Linked DNA regions of Oryzias latipes. Each later gene encodes a partner of the first gene's protein in a complex. Links are inferred from orthologs where the notes say so. Each region holds a gene or a part of one and is shown on either strand. Other genes may lie near its edges.

Region 1 (4,267 bases):
ACAGACTAGTGGATCTTAAAGTGTAAATAGGTTTTATATCCTGATAATTTTCAATATCAACAAGTTCGTTCTAGTTGAAAAACAAAAAATGTGTCCATTAATGTTTTAAAAAAAAAAGACTGATTTAGGGTTTAAAGGGATTCAAGAATCTCGAGGAGTTAAGTTGAAAGTAAATGTAGGAATTATTACCAGCTTCTGTTTGCTATAAAAAAGCAAGTACACACCTGTTGGGTTCCAACATCTCTCTTTTTACGTTCTGATTCAATTTTGCACATTGTTAGTATTTGACGGACCTCGCTGAACACTAAAGCCTCGTTGAGCATTTCCATTTTAAAACGGATCCATTAAACCGTACAGAACCGTAATTTTTGGGACCCCGTGGGTTGTAGGTCCATACAGAAATGAAATAGAACGGTTAGGGCGGAGCTACCATCATCAAACGAAGAAACTCGTTGATTGGCAGAAGGTCGTTATGATAAAAGAGAGCGCCAAACCAGCGCCAATGTTTCCAAACGGAATCTTTTGTCAAACAGCGTTAAATTCTTTGTATATGCTGGATGAACTCCATTGTTGTTGTTGATAGCTTCGCTTTTGCAGTAGTCGTACTACTATGACGCAAAGCAATGCAGGCAATCTACACCCAGAATGCACCGTGACGGTCCAACTTTGAGTGGAAACACTCACCTGAATTGAATAAACCATTCCAAACCGTGTCGTACCGCTCAGTGGAAACGAGGCTAATGCCTCCTCAAGTATCTGAATGGAGAGCATTTAAAGTCTTCCTGAAGATGAAACAGGCTTTGTTCAATGTGGGAAAGACAACTTGACGTTCTTGGAACCAGGACTTTTGATTCTTTTGATGGTTACTCAAAACTCATTAGGTATTCTCCCTCAGGCTTATCTTAAACGCACATCCCTCCAGATGCCAGAGTTACAGCAGCGGCTGGAGACAGTGAGATCTGCTCTTTGCCAACGATAGCATGAAGCATGCTGGCGAAAAACACAACGGGAAATCTCCAACCAGCAGGATACAGCGGAGTTTAAGTGAGTTAGACTGCTTCTCTGAATGCAGCACCACAAAAATCAATGCAACGCTTGTAACTTGAAACTGCAGATGCTATTTATCAGTCACATGATGGGAGAAGATGCCAAAACCTGAACCGAAATCTACATTTTTGTGCATTCATCTCACCTGCAGAACCTTCTCATCAAAAGGCCGAAGTTTACTCTGAATCCTGCGCCTGGAGCAGCTTTGTGAGGAAGGGTCTGCCGCCCCTGCAAAGATGGATGTATATTCCTGGAGCTGTTCTGGGGCCGGGTACTTGGCACTGGAGAAGACCTGCAACACAATTTGACCTGCTTCTGCAATTGTCACACACCATGGTTCCAATGTAGAAGTTTTCATCTAAAAAGATGAGGCTTTGTTACCTTGGTGGCCTTCTTACTGCCTTTAATCTTATCAACCCTGGCTTGAGCGAGTCGGATCCGGTCAGAGACGCTCTGCAGCTGGTGGCGGTTTTTCTCCACGCTCTCTGAAACCCTACAAGCAGGACCAGCATGAAGGTTATGCAGTTATTTGAAATCCTTACCAATTATTGTTTAAGTGCTAAAAGGGTTTAGCCATTTATGTTAGACAAAAAAATGCATTGTAATAATTGATGTGTTGTTTTGGACATTATATAACAAAAACATTAACTCAAGTTATGTCTTGACCCAAGGTAAAAAATAAATAAACAGGTCAACAGACAGTTGTTGTTTTTTTAAGAGCTTTATCACTCAGTACTGCTTTTATAAATACTATCAATGTTGGTGGCAGCAAATATTGTAACGGTAATGAGTCACTTTTGAAATTAAAAACCAATTTTTGGGAAGTTAGTGTCCATTAGTATGCAAAACTGACATACTTTTGAAAGATTTTCCCCTTTTTTTAAGTTAGTTTTTTGGCTTGCCTTCTAAAAATGTCGGTGGAAATTGCCTCTAGATACAGAAGTGCATCAGCGATCTGATTGACAGCCTCTTCCCGCCTCAGGTCCGGCTGCACCAGAGGGACCGAGTACACCTGGGCTTCCAGGCAGTGTCTGTGTGTCATCCTGCAAAACAACAGCAACACCATAGCACTGTTAGTTGCTCTATACTATTCTATTCTATTCTATTTCAACTAACTTTATATATTCAATAGTAAAATTTAGGATACAAAGGAAAGAATGCATTAAGGCCTCTTATTAGCACAAAGAAATATTAACAATTTAAATAAAAACAATTAAAGTTGAGTTAACAAAGAAATGTATGTTAAATATAACCTGGACAAAACCTTTATACTAGTTCCAGGTGAACGGCCTTTATTCTTTTTAGGACTAAAATGGAATTTGACTTTTTTTAACATCTCGTTGAAAGAAAAAATAAAATTCATAAATCCTCATTTGACTCTCACATGACAGTCAGCGGCGCTGAAATGATGTTGCAACAACCGTTTATTGCCAAACACGTCGCGTTATTTTTTTGGGTGTTTTGTAGGGCTAGCTGAAACCTTGTGAACACCATTTGCAAGTACATGATGATCCTAAAAAGAAATAAACTAATTATTAGATTAGGAAAAGAGCGACACAAAAACTGAGAACATCACCCGTTATTACCACGTCGTCATACAACCTAGCCTCTTACCTGACCATTGGTTTGATTTACAGTTGAGTTTCATTAAAAGAATAATTACAATCTAGACTGTCGGTGATAGCTGTAGCTTTTTATTTAGCAAAACAGTTTACACTTCCGCATCTGAGCAACACGTGACCACGCCATTGCGTTAAATGGTGCATTCACGGTGTGTCGGAAACTTTTTAACTAAAAGTTCATCTTGCACAGTGGTTCAGTTTTGCCCCCTCAAGACTAACATTTTAGTAAAGGCAGCTAGTGCAGATAGTCATACCAGAATTTTTTGTAATTTTTAAAATGTAGTTTAAAAAAAGTGTGTGTGTGTGTGGGGGGGGGGTATGTCTACTCGTTTACAGTGCTTAGCATGAATTACGTATTTAGAAAAAATCTAAATTGCTTAAAAATGTCTAATTCGTGTAGGTGTATTACATATTTAGGCAACTGACGAACTTACATTTATTTATGTATTTATTTATTGATTTATTTTGTTATTTATTTATTTATTTATTTATTATTTTATTTTTTTATTTATTCATTTTATGCATAAAGCCTTTGCCACCAGCAAAGGCTTTATGCATAAATTACTTTTTTCGGAGAGCAGAATCTTTGAGGTTTTTCTAGTTTGAAGTTTTACTTGCTTTTTTTTGTGTTTTATTTAGATTTCTATTATTCTATTCTTTTCTCTCTATTCTATTCTACATCTGCTAACTTTAACACATTTTTGGTTTATATTAGTAAACCTTTACCAAACCATGGATTAAAAGCTATTTTTAGTGCAAAGATGAAACTTTTAGCTAACGTGTTTCTTATTTTTTTTATTTAAATTATCAGCCATATTCAGATCAAACAACCTTGACATAATAGTTTAACTGCAAGCAGAAGGAAAGTTAATAAAGTATCTATAATCTAGCAGTGCATATTTATTAAATATTCTGACATAAAAAGTAAATTGTAACGACAAAATAAATGAAAAACAACAAAGAAACCAATGTGAATTTAAAAAGAAGTTACTAATCCCCCATTAAATGTCCCACTTTATTCATTAATGACCATTAACACTGTAGATTGAACCTCCAAATTCACTTCAGTTAATAAGTCTGATTGGTGTGGAATTTACAAAAACTATGCATAAAGAAAAACTATGAAGGGACATCAGGGCTTAGTGTTGACAGATCTCCTTCAAGACACAACAGTCCGTTAGAAAATGACAGTGAAACCTCGTTTTGTTGTAATTCCCCTGATATGATTGTTTAAAAAATATCCTAATAAAAAATAGTCTATTTTTAGATCATTTGTGTAACCAGTTAAGTGAAAAATAATTCAAACAAAACAGAATGCAGTACTGATTTGTATCCATAGGGTGCGTCCTTGTCCTTGCTTTTTCTCCTGAATGCGTAATGACGCATCCGTCTAGAAGCGCTCCCCTCCCTCCTGTCACATCTGGATTTGCCTCTTCTCATCAGCAGCACTCAGCAGAGAGAGGAAGAGCAAAGAATTGAGGGAAACGACCTGAGAAGTAGGGAGTAGCTTGTCGTGGCATCCTCTTTCCTTACACAGAATCATTTTTTCGGAAAGAGAAACGATTCAAAATTTCACCTTCTCATCCTCACGCACACGG
Region 2 (4,188 bases), on another chromosome or scaffold:
CTGCAACGGCTGCTGCTTTTTGCTCAGGAGCTTCTTGTCGTGCCTCCTGAGGCTGAAGCATGAAGAAACGTTGAAAAGCAGCTTTAAAGGAAACTATAATCCTGATGAATATGGCGAAAATAATATCTGTACACTAAACAGATGCTCAGAATGTTTCTGTAACGCACACAGGCAACCAGATCCCTGCTATTCAGTCTATATTACTAACTGGTTCCTTATTTGTTGTGTAAATAAAGCAAGATTGGAAATTTCAAAACTACAAAAGAGAAATATGTGGGTCAAATCGAGATCAGCTTGAAGGGAATGAAAAACCACAAAGTAAAATTAAAAACAATTGAGAAAATTAGTGAACAGTTTTAAATTCAAAAGTACACTTTGGTTATTTTAATTAAATTAAATTTTAAAAAATAAATAAGTAAATAAAAGTACATTCTCAACTTAACATAAACCTAAACTTGTCATCAATTCAGAATTCTGACTGTTATCTGGGGCTTTGAGCCCATTGGCTACCTGGACATGATTGACATCAGGTCATAAAGGGTATGATGATGTCATTTCCGCTCCACAACAGCGGTAGTTGTTGGCGCCGCCTGTGTCATCCCTCCTCTGATGTGGCGAACAGTAGTGATAATTCTCTCCCAAAGTTTGGTACATCAATACAAAACAGCAGCTGTTACAAATATATGTTAATTTTCATTTGGTAACAGTTATAAGTTTATAGTTTTTCTTTTTAATTTTAAGTTTCAACTTAAAAAATTATTTTTCAAATTTTCTATATTCCTCTCAAGTTTAAAATCTTTTTTTTTTTTTCAAAGTTACAATTATACTTTTCACATTTACAACATTTCTTTCACATCTGTTTTTGAGTTTAAAACAGTTTTAAATTTTATTTTTTGTGTTTTTTCCTTCACTTTAGGTTGATCTGGATTTGACCCCATAGGAATTCTACATTACACAAAAATTTTGTAAAGCTATTTTAGGATTATTTTCATGTTTGTCATAAAATAAAATAAGAAAATCAATAGAGATAATTATATATTAAAAAAAACTATAGTAAAAAGGTAAATCATCGGTCGACCTTTCACAATATGAATGTACCATAATCCTTATGTATCAGGTTTGAATCTATAAATTTGTGAAAAACTGTGGGGGAAGGGGGGGTTGGGATATTTGTGTCTTTTTTATAACAAGTCTGAACACTCACCACTGAGGAAGGAACTGCTCCCACTGAAGACCCATCTGTTTGGATTTGACTGGTTGGAGTGGGCCCATTTGTCTGCACACTGTGCTGCTGGTTCAGTCCATCTACTGTGACCTCCTCCAGCCCGGGAATGGAGGCCAACTGCTCCACAAAGACAAAAAACAACAACAAAAACATTTGTTAAAAAAAGAAATGACATCCATGACAATTTGAAAAGGGTGTGACAGCTCACCTTAGCCTCCAAAATGCACAAGGTGGTATCAATCTGCTGGATGCGAAGGGATATGTTTGCAAGTTTCTGTGGGGGAAATGTTGATATTTTGGATTGATCGAGTTCCCACCATGAGGGCTTCACACATTTTGACACTGATAAATTCAAAGTCAATCGAGTTTAAAGTCCCAATCATCAACTTTTGATCTATATTGAATGTGTTTCCATTGGTCTTTTAACTATGTTAATGTTGTTTTTTAGGCAAAAATGTAAAAAAAAACAAAAAAAAAACTGTTGTTCGACAGTTGGTGCAGAGTAAGCCCGCCCCTACTTCCTATCATCCATCTGTTTACATGCTCTCCCCAAGCTTACAGCCCCTCAAACACCCGTAAACTGACATTAAGAGGACAACAAAAATGGCGAGCAATTTTGGAGCTATCCAGCCGTACAGTTTAGAGCCAGATTCCAGTTCAGACGGGGAAAACAGAGACATACATGGATCTATTTGTCTGCAACAAATGGATGCATCAGCATGGAGAGGAGCAGGAAGCTTGTGACCCATCCGCCGCATTTTCTACATCACAAATACAATCTTTTTCAAACTGCATTTTTTCGTCTGCTCCCGATTTACAACAATTTGAATTAAATAATACTCAAAAATGCAATTGTAAGCTTAATTCCCTTAAGTATATTGAGATGAATCCCACAAGAAACACGTTAAATACAGGATTTCCATCAAAGTGGGTCTTTAACGATGTAAAAGATGCACAAACCTCTTCACAAACTGTGGAAAATCGGTTCAGGAATCGAACTGTGTGGACAACAAACTGATTGAGATAGGCAACAATTCGTCTCTGCTGTATAGCTGGAACCTAGAAGGGAGTTTAAAGTCATTTAATCAGGAAAACGATGACACATGAGAGCGAGTCCTATCAGATTCTGGAGAAATTTAGAGTCATGCTTAGTGCCAGCCTTTACAAAAACATGCATTTTAAAGTAAAAGAAAACACGAAAAATAATTCTGCAAATACAAAATCGTTGGGAATATTGATTGAATCCTATTATAATGTGATTAAAATCATGTTTATTATCCCATAAAGTCTTACTTGACTAATCTTTCAGCTACTTCTTTCATTCCCACGGAGATCTACAAGCGAACCATGACTGTTAGCTAAAAAAAACACAAACCTTCGTGAGGTCAACTCCAGACCCCACGATTGGCAAACCGTCCTCGTCCATGCTGGGTCGTTAAAACTCCGCGCAAACGTCCAGTATCGTTTATAATCTGTCTACATGGGGTGTAAATAAAGAAAACAGCACATTAAAAAGGTTTGTAGTGAAGGTTTCATGTGACTTGCGTAATTACGTCATAGCGCGTCCTATTCCTCTTGTCACTTCCGCTATATTGCACCAATGGCCTAACACTTCAGCTTTTATTTTGAAAACTTTAAAAAAATGTGTCTAAATAGAAAAATAAACAAAAAATTAAATAAAAAGAATTACAAGAAGAATGGAGAGGATTTAAATAAAACTACAAGGATATTTTCAGGTCAATGAGTAGAAAAGCCCATTGAGACGACTGTTGTTTTGAATTTTGGCTACACAAATAAAATTGAATTGAATTAAATTGAATTAAATTGGATCTGAAGTTTAAAATTGATTAAATAATAAATATCAACACTTAAAACCCTAATTCCATTTTATAGCACTGTTATTTCACATCTGGTTTAAAATACTATAAAGTTTAGTCAACAACCAACTTTATCACTGCGGTGAAACGTCTTAGTTTTTGGGCATTTAACTTGTGCACATAATCTATTGATAATACATTTAAAACAATACCATCTTAAATAAAAAAATATACATACTGAAATATTCGTGTTTATTTGCGAATATGCATAAACTACATAACAATGTTTTCGATTTTGAATCTGAAAACTCTTATTTTGAAAGCGGAACCCTCAAAAACATTGGAGGAAACGATGTTTGCGTCCCAACAGCGCATGTTAGCTAGAAAAACCAATAAAAAATATTTTTTTACAGTTACTGTTATTTTCAGACTTTTAACGCTGGACTATGCAAATGGACGTTTTTGGGTCAAAGAAGCAAACTAATCGTAAGTGTATTCAGATTAATAAATGTAGTCGTAAATCACGTTTATGCTTTGAAAATACTCTTTGGGACCCGACTAACTTAAGGAATGGTGTGGAGTATAAACTGGCTAACTGTTAATGTTGATGAAATCACAGGTAGTTTTTTTCTGTTATGTGATACATTACGTTTACAGACCAGTTGTACTTTTTATTGTTGTTGAATTTTAATCGTTTCAGTCAATATATTCCCATGTTAAATCGTTAACATAGATGTAAATCCAGCATTTATTTCAATTTCATAACAGATCATGAAAGGCACATCGCCAATTTAGCATTTGTTAAGGTTAAGAAAATTCTTTTTTAGACAATTTAATATCTTAAATTTAAAATTCAGCACATCATTTTTTTATTTGTAAGGTAATGCTACTTTTGAGTGGGGGTTTTTCACCTCTAGTAGTAGCATGAACATGCCTAAAAACAGGCTAATTACTGCCCTCTATAGGCAATATTTTGCATCACACCTTTCTTTTTCAGACCCCAGCTTGCCTCTGTCATCCCTGCGTCTCTTGGTTCCCCCTCTCCAGCTTTTGTCTGCTGCTGTGTGGCATCTTGCAAAGCATAAAGATGTGTTAAATTACGACAAGCTGCAGGACTTTGTGTCTACTGTGACAGAGGCCATTCCT

What was found. Proteins that work in one complex are often made in the same cells at the same time.
Region 2: washc1 (region 1) and washc3 share a complex: the UniProt entries of both Homo sapiens proteins name them as parts of the WASH core complex. The link is inferred for Oryzias latipes from reciprocal best matches to the Homo sapiens genes WASHC1 and WASHC3.

What each region holds. Positions count from the first base shown.
Region 1 is NC_019864.2:19,195,983-19,200,249, reverse strand, and holds the start of washc1 (WASH complex subunit 1), read right to left. Parts: upstream 2,801-4,267; 5' UTR 2,670-2,800; coding exon 2,662-2,669; intron 2,091-2,661; coding exon 1,950-2,090; intron 1,541-1,949; coding exon 1,429-1,540; intron 1,340-1,428; coding exon 1,193-1,339; intron 1-1,192. UniProt on the Homo sapiens protein: Acts as a component of the WASH core complex that functions as a nucleation-promoting factor (NPF) at the surface of endosomes, where it recruits and activates the Arp2/3 complex to induce actin polymerization, playing a key role in the fission of tubules that serve as transport intermediates during endosome sorting.
Region 2 is NC_019881.2:17,520,987-17,525,174, reverse strand, and holds the start of washc3 (WASH complex subunit 3), read right to left. Parts: upstream 2,801-4,188; 5' UTR 2,652-2,800; coding exon 2,601-2,651; intron 2,285-2,600; coding exon 2,186-2,284; intron 1,500-2,185; coding exon 1,434-1,499; intron 1,343-1,433; coding exon 1,205-1,342; intron 53-1,204; coding exon 1-52. Other genes in the region: zinc finger protein 252, read left to right, coding at 3,489-3,528, 4,040-4,188. UniProt on the Homo sapiens protein: Acts as a component of the WASH core complex that functions as a nucleation-promoting factor (NPF) at the surface of endosomes, where it recruits and activates the Arp2/3 complex to induce actin polymerization, playing a key role in the fission of tubules that serve as transport intermediates during endosome sorting.